Ovis aries: one gene and its partners. The main gene of each other region encodes a partner of the protein of the gene in region 2 in a complex. Links are inferred from orthologs where the notes say so. Each region holds a gene or a part of one and is shown on either strand. Other genes may lie near its edges.

Region 1 (5,221 bases), on a different chromosome or scaffold from region 2:
ACCAAAGCCATCTTCATAACTCATACTCATGCTGTTGTTTGGGCAGAAGGGGAATGCTATTGCTCCGTTGTAAAATCTGTTATACAACTATGGGTGAAAGTAGGGGACACAAATTTTTATTGGAAAACATACAAATATTAGTATATTGGATTTGTCTCTTTAATTATAAAACCATACAATTTTATTATAAATCACCACATGAATTTAACACTTAACTTTTCTTAAAGGCTTAAAATGATGGGTTTAAAAAAGTATCTTCTTTTAGCCAGGTCAATATAAGGTATAAAAATATAGTTATACATCTATCTTAGCCTTTGCCTCCTTCAGTTATCTATAAACTTTCTTACTTTAAGATACATTAAATTCACTAAATTAGATGAAATATAATAATCTTTTTATACCTATAAATGCTGGTGTATTTATTACTAAAAGTTGGAGTATTATCATACTGACCCTATTATTTAAGGTTCTTGTTTAGATGTACATCAATGTATACTACAAAACAAACTAGTAATAACTATTTTTTAACTAGTTTGCCTTTAATCCTAAAATTCTTAGATTCTTAGCATGTCAGATTATGGCTGAGGAAGAAAGAACTTATATATCTGTATGTACGCATATGCGCTCAGTCTCTCAGTCGTGTCCGACTCTTTGCGACCCCATGGATTATAGCCTGCCAGGCAGCTCTGTTTATGGGATTTTTCAGGCAAGAACACTGGCTGCTGCTGCTAAGTCACTTCAGTTGTGTCCGATTCTATGCGACCCCATAGATGGCAGCCCACCAGGCTCCTCCGTCCCTGGGATTCTCCAGGCAAGAATACTGGAGTGGGTTGCCATTTCCTTCTCCAATGCATGCATGCATGCTAAGTCGCTTCAGTCATGTCCAACTCTATGTGACCCTATGGACAGCAGCCCACCAGGCTCCTCTGTCCACAGGATTCTCTAGGCAAGAATACTGGAGTGAGTTGCCATTTCCACCAGAGCAGTTGCCATTTCCTCCTCCAGGAGATCTTCCCCCTAGGTATCAAACCCATGTCTCCTGCATTGGAAGGTGGATTCTTTACCACTGAGCCAGGTGGGAACCCTTTGTATGCCTGAATTAAAAAATAGAGCTTATTTCCAATTGTCTTTAAGTAAATGAGTATCATATAGATCTAAACTTCTCAAGTTTTGACTGCATTAAAGCTAATATTTTTTTCTCACCTAAAACATTTAGTTTATTTAATTTAAATAAAGCTTAATTTAAAACAAGTCTCCTAATCTAGAGATCCAGATATGTTGATAAGTCTCTGGTACCATGCCTTTTCAATGATTTAATTAAGAGTCATTGGAAGAAATAGGTTAATTAGGCAAAACTAATTTCTGATAACAGAAATTGATCAATAGTTGCTTAGACAGAGGATGGGGTACAGGGATTAACCACAAGGAGCACAAAAAATCTTTTGGGGGTCACAGAAATGCTATGTATTACTAGCATCTAGGTTATAAAAGTACATGCATTTGTCAACACTGATTAAACTGTTCCGTTAAGAGTTGAGTTCACTGTATATAAATTATCCCTTAATTAAAAAAAATTAGGTTAGCTCAGTAAGAGCTAAATTATGATTGTTAAATACTGTTTACTAAACGAAGACATACATTTTAGAATTGACATTTATGGAAATAAGGTTAGTGTTTTGTAACAGACCTTAAATAACCTGACATATCATTGCCTTTGTGAAGAAGGCCTCAGCAAGTATGTTAATTTTTTTTCTCAAAAAGTAGTCATTCTTTTCAAACGTTTTCAACAAAACTGAAGCCCAAAGATTAGAAGTACAGTTGGTGGCTCAGATGGTAAAGCATCTGCCTATAATGCAGGAGTGAAAGTGAAAGTGAAGTCACTCAGTCGTGTCTGACTCTTTGCGACCTTGTGGATTGTAGCCTACCAGGCTTCTCTATCCATGGGATTCTCCAGGCAAGAATACTGGAGTGGGTTACCATTTCCTTCTTCAGGGGATCTTCCTGACCCAGGGATCGAACCCAGGTCTCCCTCATTGTAGGCAGTCGCTTTAACCTCTGAGCCATCAGGGAAACCTGGGTTCAATCCCTGGGTTGGGAAGATCTTCTGGAGAAGGAAATGGCAACCCACTCCAGGATTCTTGCCTGGAAAATCCCATGAATGGAGGAGCCTGGTAAGTTACAGTCCATGGGGTCGCAAAGAGTTGGACATGACTGAGAGACTTCACTTTCCTTTCCTCACTTTATGTATGGGGCAGTAAGGCTGATTAACGACTCAACCACATTTAGTTATTTTAACAAAGTTGCACTTTCAATAAGTGGTAAATTCAGTGAAGAATTTATGATTCATAGGAATCTCACATAAACAGCTTTGTAGTCAGGCTCAAACACATGCTTCAAGGCATCTCTGCTATATTTGCATATAAGTCACAAATTTAAACAATAAGCCTAAATTATGAAATAATAGCAAATATTAAAATACCTAGTACCTGAAGTTGGGGAAATGGAGGAAAAATGTCCCCATGATCAGAGGCTTCAGATCACTTAACACAAAGGATATTAATAAACGCTGCATTTAATAATTTTCAACTTACTTGATTACTGGAGGCAATGAATCAAGTCTAGTCTCTGGGCTCCAAGCTATGCCATCAACTCTGACTCCATGGTGGAATGTTCGTAGTGTTTTATACTGAATTCCTTCAACGTCTGCTTCTTCCTCCTAAGCATACACAGTACATGTTTAAATAAGTCATGAGAACAAACAATATAAAACTGAGTATTTTATTATAAGGAAGAATTTATCAGGGGGCCATGAATATTCTTTTGGGAAGTTCAAAAAGCAGATCAGATATTAGGCTATAATCCATAGGGTTGCAAAGAGTGAGACACGGCTTCACTTTCACTTTCTTTCAACCAGTTTACTGAACGACAACAAAAATATTCAAAGTTGTCTGTTACAAAATAACTCTCTAAGATAATTAAAAACAATATACTTGTTATACTTTATCTCAAGAGACATTTTCTTCCTAATAGTAAATATATTTCACATCAAACACAACGAAAATACAATGCTCTAAGAATCAGAATGTTCTAGTAAATGAAGTAACATGCATGGATTATCAAATAACAGTATCAAAAATATATACTGAACGCAGTTTTGATTATGTATAAGATACCTTGTACCTTATGATGCCTCAAAGTAATTATAAAGAGTATCAGTGATTTACATGGAAATAGTTGGACATAACTCAGCAACTCACACTTTCACTTTCATACATGTGTGGGATTGAACAAACTGTTGTTCACCTATACCATTACTATGAGCAGTGGATGTGCAAATTAGTGATCAGTCTTTTAGATATTTGATTCTGGGTAAGATGTTTAATAAAGTCAGCTTATCTATTTAATTCAGTACTACTAAAATGATTTCAGTTTATTCTCATAGGAAGACAAGAATGAATTTTGAAAAGTCAAGTCATCTTTGTCTGGCAATATGGACAATAACCTGAAAAGCTTTCTGACTACAAAAATAATGCAAAAATCCAAATCCAGAGAAGCAACTTAGCACAGAAGCACAAAGCTATCTTAAGGACATCTGCCCATATCCAATAATTAGTAATGTTTGTTGGTAGGAGACAGAAGACAAAACTTAGTGCCTACACAAAGAAGGATGCAGATCAGGGACCTTTGAATAGATCCAGGACCTTTAAAGTGTAAGTAGGGAAAACAAAAACCCCAAATCAAAAGTGCCATGCAAAATATATACCCTGGCTCAAGGTCAAGAAAAAGAAAAAAGTAACTTGTGAGAAATCTCAACCACTGGCTGGCCTTAACATAAGTTTGGGGCTTGAATTCACATTAACTATGTGCCCCAGAAAATGAAAACTTATTTCAAAATGTCCATATGTTGTTAGTGGCCCTAAGCACTTGACGACTAAAGGCAAATTCATTTTGGATTAACTTCCTCTACCCAGGTCTCAAAATTCTCACAGATATAGTTCAATCAGATATGATCTTACATGCATGCACTGCTACATATGAAAACAAAATACCACAAACACAAACAGAAGAATCAACCTGGAGACATTAAAAAAATCAGATTAAAAAAATGTATTTTTGAGGATGTAGACAAAAGAATCAAAAAATTTGACTAAGCAACATGAGATTACCCAAAATGACCAGACAGGTATTAAAGAACTAAATGAAAAAGTATAGATGAAAATACTATCATAAGAAAAAAATAAACAAGGCTCAGAGAAGCTGGAAGACAGATTTGAAAAACTTATTCAGAATGTAGTTAAGACAAAAAGCCTGGCTTGGAGAATTTTGAGCATTACTTTACTAGCATGTGAGATGAGTGCAACTGTGCGGTAGTTTGAGCATTCTTTGGCATTGCCTTTCTTTGGGATTGGAATGAAAACTGACCTTTTCTAGTCCCGTGGCCATTGCTGAGTTTTCCAAATTTGCTGGCATATTGAATGCAGCACTTTCACAGCATCATCTTTCAGAATTGAAATAGCTCCACTGGAATTCCATTACCTCCACTAGCTTTGTTTGTAGTGATGCTTTCTAAGGCCCACTTGACTTGGTTTTAGAAAAGGCAGAGGAACCAGAGATCAAATTGCCAACATCTGCTGGATCATCGAAAAAGCAAGAGAGTTCCAGAAAAACATCTACTTCTGCTTTACTGACTATGCTAAAGCCTCTGACTGTGTGGATCACAATAAACTGTGGAAAATTCTGAAAGAGATGGGAATACAGACCACCTGACCTGCCTCTTGAGAAACCTATATGCAGGTCAGGAAGCAACAGAACTGGACATGGAACAACAGACTGGTTCCAAATAGGAAAAGGAGTACGTCAAGGCTGTGTATTGTCACCCTGCTTATTTAACTTCTATGCAGAGTACCTCATGAGAAACGCTGGGCTGGAAGAAGCACAAGCTGGAATCAAGATTGCCGGGAGAAATATCAATAGCCTCAGATATGCAGATGACACCACCCTTATGGCAGAAAGTGAAGAGGAACTAAAAAGCCTCTTGATGAGAGTGAAATAGAGTGAAAAAGTTGGCTTAAAGCTCAACATTCAGAAAACGAAGATCATGGCATCTGGTCCCATCACTTCATGGCAAATAGATGGGGAAACAGTGTCAGACTTTATTTTTTGGGCTCCAAAATCACTGCAGATGGTGACTGTAGCCATGAAATTAAAAGACGTTTACTCC
Region 2 (5,669 bases):
CTCTGCATCTGCCTAGCACAATACAACTGTCCTGTGCATAGTTCTCCCTCAGATCCAATCAGTACAGTGTCATGAACGGGTGCGTGTGGTAGCTCATAGAAGAGAACAGCAATTGAGACCCCTGTGGACTAAATTATGGCACAGGACTGAAGAGTGACACACGCCTGAGATAGGTCAGTGACGGTGTGGTGCTGGCCTTGCCAGATGAAAGCCAACTGCTCCTGGGGGTCTTTACTGACAGGGGAGGGAGAGAATGGCATCTGTCAGATCAACATCCGCAAAGCTGGTGCTGGAGATGTGTAAGTTCTCAAGCATTGAAGCCACATTAGACATCAGTGAAACATCCGAGAGCTCTCCCTGCACACAGAGTAGGCCATGTGAGGACATAGCAAGAAGGTGGATGTCTGCCAGTCAGGAATAGCACTCTCACCTTGAAATGAAGTCTTTTGCCACCTCGATCCATGACTTCCAGACTCCAGGCCTGTGAGAGAACACATTTCTGTTGTTTAAGCCACCCAGTCTGCAGTATCTTACTGTGGTACCCAAGCAGACCAGGACAACTGTGAAAGTGCATTGCTAGCCAAGCCTGTTAAAGCAAACTGTTTCTGGTGGAAATCTTAATTAGCAAGTATTGAGGAAAATGTATCTGTCAGACCCAACTGCTGTGAACCAGCTCCCATGGGATGAGTTAATCAGCTTGAGCAATGAAACAACATCTGTAATAGCAAGGGCAGTTGCAGTGAATGCCTGCCTAAATATACAGTAACGCACCATTATTCTCCAAGACTCACCTGCCTTCTGCACAGGCCAGAGGTAAGCAGCAGTGGGATGTGGTGGGTGCCACCAGCCCTGCATCCTTCAAGCCGTTATTGGTGGCACTAAGCTCTGCAGTACTGTTTCTGGCTCCCTACTCTTCTCAGCAGGGGCAGCTCTAGTGGTGTCCACTTGACCTTTCCCAGCATATAGCCCTCCTTCCACAGGTCAGGGAACCAACTCAAGGATTCTCCCTGTTGCCCAACCACATTCCAGAACCAGGGAAATAACCACAGGATGGCTCTGAGGACCCACTGTGAGACACACCTGAGCCAGAAAACCTCTGGTCAGCTGACCTCCTCAAGGCCTGCTCTGACTGTGGATCACAGTGATATTTTGGGTCTCCTGAAATCAGGGTCAGTTTGGAGCTGCGTGTTCAGAATTCTTGAAAAATCTAATTATTTCCTTTTCCCCAAAGCATAATCACCGTGGTAAAAGGCCCCAGGTCCCCTGAGGGAAGGCTGGAAGATTCAGTGTGTATTTTTGGCAGCACAGTAGGGTCTTTCCTCAAGGTGATCTGGCTTCCTCTTTAATCAAGGGTTTTTGGGTCTGTAAACTGGGTCAAGTGTGACGTTGATTGTAAGGCTGTCACGCTGCTTTTATGAGTTTTGTGAGTATTTTCTCTGGCAACGAGTGTCTTTGTTCTTAGAGCAGTTACAGTAGTTCTCAGTTATCATACCGGCAACTCACGGATTTGGGGGTTTGCCCTTGACGTACCGGGCTACAGTCCACACTGTCACATGTATGTGTCCTCTTAAAGTACCAATAAAATCTTACCATTTTTAGTGGGAGGGGAAAGGCAAGTGAAGGCATTTCCAGTAAGGCCAAACCATTTCTGCAGATCCTGGGGGAACGGGGACTGCCGGGGCCACGCACCCCCCCACCCCTCACCACACACGCTGGACACACGCTCCTTACGCACCGCTAATCTCTGCGCTCACTCCCGGGGCCCTGCCCGACTCCCGGGGCCCAACGCGATGAGACTGACTCAGGGCCGAGGCTTGCAAATGATAGTCTTAACCTTCACATTCCCCTAATCTCCACACTTCGACGGAGAGCTCCTTAAGTCCCCTTAGGGCACCGACGGGCTTTCCTTGTGGCTAAGCGGGTAAAGAATCCGCCCGCAATGCGGGGAGTCCTGGCTTCGATCCCTGGATTGGGAAGACTCCCTGAAAGAGAGAAAGGCTACACACTCCAGTATTCTGGCCTGGAGAATTCCATGGACTGTATAGTGGATGGGGTCGCAAAGAGTCGGACACGACTGAGCGACTTTTACTTCATTTCACTTCAGGGCACAGACTGCGCCGCAGCCAGGCGACAGAGTAACTACCGCGGCCCCCGCCACGCGGTGTTTGACCCACACCCGGGCCTTGACTGGTACGGCGAACCGGGGGCGGAGCCTTGCGGGGTGTGACGGGCAGGGGGCGGGGTCCCGCGGGGTATGACGGGCCAGGGGGCGGGGCCCCGCGGGGTATGACGGGCCAGGGGGCGGGGCGGGCGCAGCCCGGGGCGCGCGAGCAGCACGCGGAAAGCACCGCCGTGCGCGCCCCGGCGCCGGGTCCGGGTGGGCTGCGGTCCGCGCGCCGCCGCGCCGCCGTGTAGGAGGCGGGAGGGGTCCGGCGCAGCCATGTTCGTGGCGCGCAGTATCGCGGCGGACCACAAGGATCTCATCCATGATGTGTCTTTTGACTTCCACGGGCGGCGGATGGCCACCTGCTCCAGCGACCAAAGCGTCAAGGTGCGGGCCGAGCCTGGAAGCGGGCGGGACCTTGCGCGGCCCGCTGTCCGAGCGAGGGGCGCGTGGAGAGGGGAGTGCTCCCGAGTTGAGGCGCCTTGCCGGGCACGAGGCCCGGCGGCTTGGCCGGCGGGCGCCCTCCTCCCGGGTATTGTGGGGTCACTGCCGCCCGGGCCGCCTCTCCGCGGTTGTCTGCGTGCGTGCGTGCGTCACGGCGGCGGGCGCGCTCCCGCTGCGGGGGAAGCAGGGCGCTCCGATCGGCCAGGCTTGCCCTGGGCTCCAGGCTGGGGCCGGAGCACCTCGTGGGAGGGGGATGTCTCGCTTGGCGGTGGTCGGCGGGACCTAGGCCCGCTCCGCGGGCGCCCGTCGGATTGGGCTCCCTCCGTCCATGTATTCACAGCTGGGCCGCGGCTGCGCGGCCCTCGCTGACGGATCTGTGACGAGGCCCGGGTTTTCTCTCCGCCCGCCGCGGCCGCGTGACAGTCGCGATAATTGGCGTCCGTTAACCGAGTAGGTTTCCTTATCCGCTTAAAGCTGTCTTCTAGAGGATTGTCCCGTGTGCGGAGTATTTGTCGGGGTGTTGCAGTGAAAAAGCTTCGTTAATCCCGCTTTTTATGTTTTTTGGAAGTTTTCCTTAGGCTCATTCCAGTAAAGAAATTAATGAGTATTTTAAAAGCTCTTGAGAGTACTTGGTAGATTGTCTTTTTGAAGGTTGTACTGTTTTACAGCTGCCGGTGAAGAGTATCGGTGTGATAGTTGTCCGTGTCGGACATTATCATTGCATTTTTTTCTTTAGTGTTTTCGTTATTGCAGTGAACTACAGGTAACAAAATTTACCACCTTAACCGTTTTTATTAAGTATGTTTGTATCTTTGCATCGGTCACTGCCATCCTCAGTTTGCACTGTCCGCATTAAGCATGACTCACCGATCCCTGAAGCGTCCACCCCGGTCCCCGCCCTTGTACTTTCTGTCTCTGAATTTGGCTACTCCAGCGGCCTCATACAAGTGGGATCATACAGGATTTGTCTTTTTTGTGACTGGCTGATTTCACTTAGCTTAATGTTTTGAAGTTCATACGTGTTGTAGCATTTGTCATAATTTCCTTCCCGAGAAAAGGAAGCGTTTAAATAATCTAAAAACTTTTAAAGAGGCTGAGTATATGTATCTGCATATACCACATTTTACATATCACTCATCTGTTGGTGGAGTTTGGTTCCTTCTACATTTTAGTTGTGAACAGTGCTGCTGTGAATGTGGGTGAACAAGTATAGCTTTGAGACCTGCTTTCAACTCTTTTGGGTGCAGACCCAGAAGTGGAATTGCTGAATCACATGGCAATTCTATTTTTATTTGAAAAAATTTTAATAATTTTTATATATGTGTTGCTGTTCTTGGGCTTTCTCTAGTTGAGGAGAGCGAGGGCTGCTCATCGTTGTGGTGCTCCAGGCTTCTCATTAGCGGCGCTTCTTGTGGAGGATGGGCTCTCGGTCACGCAGGGTTCAGTAGTTGCGGGTCATCTGCTCAAGAAAACGGACTTGCGTTGGCAGGCAAATTCTATCCACCGGGGAAGTCCTGTTTGAAGTTTTATGAGGAGCCACAATACTGTTTTATCATTACATTTTTAAAAATTGATTTATTTGGGGGACATATTACATTTAAAAAACCTGGTTAAAATCTCACGTTATTGTAATGTCTATTTTTTGTTGGTATGAAGGTTCAGTGTTTTGTCTTTGACTGTTATATATACAGTTGAGTCTTGTTATTTGCAAGTTTTGTATTTGTGAATTTGCTTATTCTATAAAGTTTATTTGTAACCCCCAAAGCAACGCTCATGGTTATTTGTTGACATGACCAGGTGGCAGAAAAATTGGAGTTGTTCAGGTTGTGTTCCCAGCTGAGGTTGGACATGTGACACTCTGCCTTTTATTCAGGCTTTCATAGTGTAAACAAGCGTCCTTCTGAGTGTGTGTTTGGTGCCACATTTTTCACATTTTCATTCTTTTGGTGAATTTCACTGGCTGAAGTGGTCCTCAAGTGTAGTGCTGCATAATGTCCCACAGCAAAAAGGCTATGAGTGCCTTCCCGAAAAAGTATGTGTTAGGGGAGCTTCATTCAGACCTGAGTTACAGTGTTGGTGTGATTTCAGTTCAGTCACTCAGTTGCATCCGACTCTTTGTGACCCCATGGACTGCAGCACGCCAGGCTTCCCTGTCCTTCACCAACTCCTGGGGCTTGCTCAAACTCATGTCCATTGAGTCGGTGATGCCATCCAACCATTTCATCCCCTGTCCTTCCCTTCTCCTGCCTTCAGTCTTTTCCCAGCATCAGGGTCTTTTCCAGTGTTCAGTGTTAGTGAATCGATAATGTATACAAAATAAGGTGTTTGCAAACATGCACAGGTAAAACAAGGTTATTGATAGGTTGGTTGATAAATACATTGTGACCAGAGGCTCCTGTGAATTGTACCTGTTTCCTCTGTGGGAGAGTGGTCAGTATTGGCCCAGTGACTTTCTAGGGCAGCAGCACCATAAGTGCCTGACTTGAGTGGCACTGTTATCATCTCCATTAACTATTGGAGCGAAGGTTCCTGGACTGACATGTCCTCAGTCCTGAGTAAATATTTGGTTGAATGAATGAATTTTAATTACTGATTTTATCTTTTGTGAATTTATGTTTCCCTCCTTTGTCCTCACTGATTCAATTAATTTTAGGAATTCTTGGTACAAAATATCTTTTTTCTTACAGGTCTGGGATAAAAGTGAAAGTGGGGAATGGCATTGCACTGCTAGCTGGAAGGTTAGTATTTATTTTTATGGTGATTTTTAAAAATTGAAACATTTTACTATTGGGTAGCATTAGTGACTTTGTTCAGTTTTGAGAATTATAAAATTTATACCTTTTACTTTTTTTCACTATTAAAGTAGCAAATGTGCTTCAGAAAATTTGAAAGTAGCATTTTTAACCTAATTGTTTTTAGCATCTCAGTATGTCTTTCTTATTTCTTTCCTTTACATATTTTAATAGTTGTGATGTTTTGTACATAGCTTTATTTTTTGCTTTAAAAAATAGCTTTACCCCAGGTAGAGTTTTACGTATCTTGAGAATCGTCAATTTTAAAT
Region 3 (4,579 bases), on a different chromosome or scaffold from region 2:
TTTAGTCAATTATTTTTTGAGCCAAATATATATATATACAGAACAACAAATGCATATATATATATTCTATTTTAAAATGTAAACAAAACAAACTCCAAACCCCCAAATCCTGAGAATTCAACATAAAAAAATTAAAAATATTTATTGGGCCAGAAAGACAAAAATTCATAGTTATCTGTTGTTGGAATTGTAAAGTAAATAAACAGAAACTTCCTGTGTAACAGGAGTGATCTTTCATTAAGGTCTTTACAATTCAATGATGCATTTACTCTTAAAAAACTTTGGAAAGACAGTATCATAAAACTGTCTCAAAATACTGTGTGTTAGGTCATCATTAACATTAAAGATAAGGGTGGCAAAACTCTTTACTCCTATCACATCATCATACTAGTCTCATACATGTTACCTCTCAAATTTTAGTTTGGAAGCTGCCTCACTTACCAATGTCAAATCCTATTTTAATGCACAATGTCCAATTCAGCAATTTTCAATTATGGCGTAAAAAACTAAATAAAAGCAAAAATCCTTACGAAAAATGTATTTTGTCTTTTTTCAAGAGAAACAAAGCTGGGTCTAAGGAGGTGACAGAGTTCTGTTCAAACCCATTCTAATAAAGGAACCCATCAAAACATTTTCACCTTAAAAAAAATTTCAACACTACCAAAAACTGTCATTTTTGCTCTACTCAATTCTTACTGAAGAAAGTTTACTGAAATTATTAAGGAAATAAAATGTTGAAGGACTGAAGAAACACTTGCAGTAAAGAGAATAAATACTAGTATTGAAAAATGTCACCAGGGAGGGACATACCATATCCCACATACTCCTGAAAAGGAAAGGAACCTGTTGGTGGTTTGACATTATTAAGCCCTACAACATCAAAAATGGAGAGTTGGTTCCATGAGCTATCTAGAATGGTGCTGAAGGCAGTGCATTCATCAGAACAAGGATTCCTCTGATGTTCCGCCACATATTTCAATTCTTTTGCCATGGGTCATCAATCAGACTCCAGCAACTGTTAGAGCAATATTCAACTAACAAACTGGGCATCAACATTAACAATAGTTTATGGCTGTTCCCCTTGCAAATTTCACATTTTCCAATAACAAAAATTTGCAAAGAAACTGGCATTTGAAAGGTTGTAACTGTATGTTTTACCTGAAATCTTTTAGTATCTTCATGAAAAAAGCTGTCTAGTAACATAAATTGCTTCTGCATCCGTTCCACAAACAAGACAAGGACCTAAAACATCCAGACTGTTCACAGACAAAGTCCTATTAGGAAGCAAGCTTGTGATTTCAATACGATCTTTGGCAGGATCAGTGCTGAGCCAGGAGCTTATAAGAGATTGGTGAACATTAGCTTGGTTACTAATGGTATGAGACAAAAAAGTACTATTTCTTCCTCCTGGGAAAAAAAAGAAAATGGGAAAACATTGTTCAAGACCAATTTTATACTAGTAAATCTCTGAAATTCTAATATCTAAAAAATGTAATGATATAAACTTGTTTTAACTCTCAAGAATAACAGGCTGATGATTCCATTATAACGCATCACCGTTTTTGACCAAAAGCTTCTAAGTCAGTGATATTAAACACTCAAATTTTCATGGGATAACATGGCTTTCAAACTTGAACTCTTCAGCAAAGCCCAAGATTAATTTTGACCTTGTCTTCCTATTTATACTTTAATGGAAAGTCTCAGAAATGTAGCAAAATGGTTAGAGGACAAGTAGAATAGATGTAGATAATATGTAGAAACCTACACGGTTAGATAATCAAAAAATGAAGTGATCATGAGAAAATTTCTGGACATATTTCTAAAAACATATATTTCTAAAAATATAATCAACTTGCTGTAGATCTCCTTTTATTCTTGTGTTTATTTTAGGTAAATGTTCTTAAAAGTAGAATTTTAGAACACTACCAAATTATAAACTTTTATCTCTGACAGTGCTCTGCATTTAACATAGAATTAATTATTTCAGTTTTAGCCTTCATTTGAAATTTTCTTTCTACTTTTTGCCAGATCAAATAAAGACAGATTTTGTTTACTCTCAATAAATGGCTGACACCTACTATATGCCAGGCTCTGTGCTAAGTGCTGGGAATACAAGGCAAAGTCTCTCATACCTTGAAGTTTAAAAATTAGTGGGTTTAAATCTTGCTGATTTTGAAAGCCCAGCTCAACTTCCTTTTCTGAGAAGTCTGTCAAGATGACTCTAGTTCATGCTTCTCTTTTTCTTCCTGGAACCTGCAGCACTTGTATGCACCCCTAATAATTTACTATTTGCAACATTTCTTATATCATGATTTAACTTTCTTTGGCTCCTTCTCCTAAATTAAAACTAAATTAAGTATTCCTTAAGAGCAGGTTGTATAGATTAACTTTTTCAGTGTCTAATACTGTTCTTTGCAATACCAGACACAGGATACAGTTAATGACTATTTCCAATCTAACCAGCATTCTTCAAACTATAAAATCTCAAATGCAAGATAGTGGGGCTAGAAGAAGAAATAAAAAACCAAGTGCTTAGCTACTCTTGGGTATTTATTAGAAACTTAATAGAACTATTAGTTTTTCCATACATGAAGTTATTAGCACAGGCATACTCCATACTCTGCACATTCCATACTTTTCCAGCATTTTTCTGGAGAAGTTTTGGACTTTTCCTTCTTAGTTTCTGTTTACCTTTTACTGCTCCAGTATTACTCTTGAATACTGTGAAATTGAACATTAGAACCACTGTGGAAAGTCTGTCTCCTGGTCCTCCTGCTTCCACTTTTCCAACCCTCTCCCCATAGTTGCCAAAGCGATTGTTTGGAAACATACAAGACAAATCACCCCACTTCCCTGCTCAAAATTCTCCAGTGGCATTTGGTGACGTCAGAAAGAAATCTCAGCTGCTCCCAGTCTGCAGAGTCCTGCTCCTCAGCTCCTTCTCACCATCTACTCCCCCTCCTGCCTGCTGAACTGCAGCCACACTGGCTCTTTTCTGTTCGCAGTCTCAGGCCTTTGGAATTTGGTGTTTCCTCTACTGGAATGCTTGCCTGTGACTAGTAGTTTCATCTCTTCAGGTCTCTGCTGAGATCTTCTCTCCTCTGCCAAGCGGCCCCTCCCCAATTAATTTTTTTTCATCATCCTACTCTCTTCACTCTTCTGCATGGTCATCAGGGTATTTGATCCAGTTCTTTTCCATTTTGCTCTGTCTCCCTTGCTATGTTCCACTATGTACTGTCGGAATGAATTTCTTTTCCCAGGCTCCCTTGCTATCTGCCTTCCAGGTGAACCCTGAGCACGGGAGATAACTATTGTGGGTGACGAAGGCAGAGAAGCTGTGGGGAGTAAGGTGGGAATGGGAAAAAGCTCCAGGTTTCTGACAACACTACAGTGATTCCAGCCCCAGCTGAGGTGGCACCTTTTCTGCTGATCCAGAACCAACTCTGACAGCACTTCTAACAGGACAGTGGAGGTTAGTAACAACTGTTCATTTCTGGGCATTCCTCCTTTCTGCCATTTGCTCTTCCAGCATCCCTCCCATTCCCTTTTGTTCTTCTAGCCCAATACACATGAAAACAATTCCTTTTAAACCCAGGGTAGTTTCTGCTTTTCTGTTTGGACTTTTACTGAAATATCACCTCCTGACTTACTGTCTACTAGAATATTTGCTCTACGTGCCTCAAGGCTCTTCTGCTCGCTGTCATGGGCTCTAACACCTAGAAGGGTACCTAGCACATGGCACTTCATAAACATTTGCTGAGTGAATGAACAAAGTTTGCAGTCACAGACAAGCTCAAAACCAGAAAGCTTAGAAAATACCAAAAATGAAAATAAAAATTCATTTTGATTTTAAGTATATAGTTTCTGGATGACCTTTACTTGTGTTACGTCACTTCAGTCGTGTCCAGCTCTTTGCAACCCTCTGGACAGTAGCCCACCAGGCCCCTCTGTCTATGGGATTCTCCAGGCAAGAATACTGAAGCGGGTTGCCATGCCCTCCTCCAGGGGATCTTCCCACCCAGGGACTGAACCTGCACCTCTTAGGTCTCCTGCATTGACAGGCAGGTTCTTTACAACCAGCGCTACCTGGGAAGTCCAACCTTTACTTACCTCTGTCTTTAATCAGGAGACAGAGCCTTTTATTCTGAGAAACCAGTACCTTAATACATAAAAAGAGTCATACACCTTTGACAGTGTAATATAGGAGAGTGATCAGTGCCTATTCTGTGGCATGAGGGCCCACAGCAATGTACTTACAAAGTTAGCCAGCTAATAAATAGCATTTCTAGTCGTCAGCAGTATAGTGGTCAGTAGCTGATAGATTTCATGCCCTGTGATACTAAAATCTACCCTGAGGCCAGAGAATGGAAACCTTCTATCACTCCTTAATGTTAAAAATATGAGTATTTCTCATTTGGCATACCAAAATATAATCTCAAGCTGCCCACAAGAATCTTCATTAAAACATTTTACCTTGGTGAAAGAGTGACGACTTCTCAGGTCCGTCTGTGGAGGCATCCCAGTGCCAGAGAGATCCATCTTCAGAACAAGTGAACAGATGATCTGGGTTGGATGGGTG

The links. The genes of interacting proteins can lie anywhere in the genome.
Region 1: SEH1L (region 2) and NUP37 share a complex: the UniProt entries of both Homo sapiens proteins name them as parts of the nup107-160 subcomplex of the nuclear pore complex. The link is inferred for Ovis aries from reciprocal best matches to the Homo sapiens genes SEH1L and NUP37.
Region 3: SEH1L (region 2) and NUP43 share a complex: the UniProt entries of both Homo sapiens proteins name them as parts of the nup107-160 subcomplex of the nuclear pore complex. The link is inferred for Ovis aries from reciprocal best matches to the Homo sapiens genes SEH1L and NUP43.

Annotation. Positions count from the first base shown.
Region 1 is NC_056056.1:171,511,764-171,516,984, forward strand, and holds part of NUP37 (nucleoporin Nup37), read right to left. Parts: intron 2,717-5,221; coding exon 2,592-2,716; intron 1-2,591. UniProt on the Homo sapiens protein: Component of the Nup107-160 subcomplex of the nuclear pore complex (NPC). The Nup107-160 subcomplex is required for the assembly of a functional NPC.
Region 2 is NC_056076.1:43,683,216-43,688,884, forward strand, and holds the start of SEH1L (nucleoporin SEH1), read left to right. Parts: upstream 1-2,314; 5' UTR 2,315-2,440; coding exon 2,441-2,551; intron 2,552-2,764; exon of another isoform or gene 2,765-3,058; intron 3,059-5,295; coding exon 5,296-5,346; intron 5,347-5,669. UniProt on the Homo sapiens protein: Component of the Nup107-160 subcomplex of the nuclear pore complex (NPC). The Nup107-160 subcomplex is required for the assembly of a functional NPC.
Region 3 is NC_056061.1:73,997,403-74,001,981, forward strand, and holds part of NUP43 (nucleoporin Nup43), read right to left. Parts: coding exon 4,474-4,579; intron 1,408-4,473; coding exon 1,178-1,407; 3' UTR 1-1,177. UniProt on the Homo sapiens protein: Component of the Nup107-160 subcomplex of the nuclear pore complex (NPC). The Nup107-160 subcomplex is required for the assembly of a functional NPC.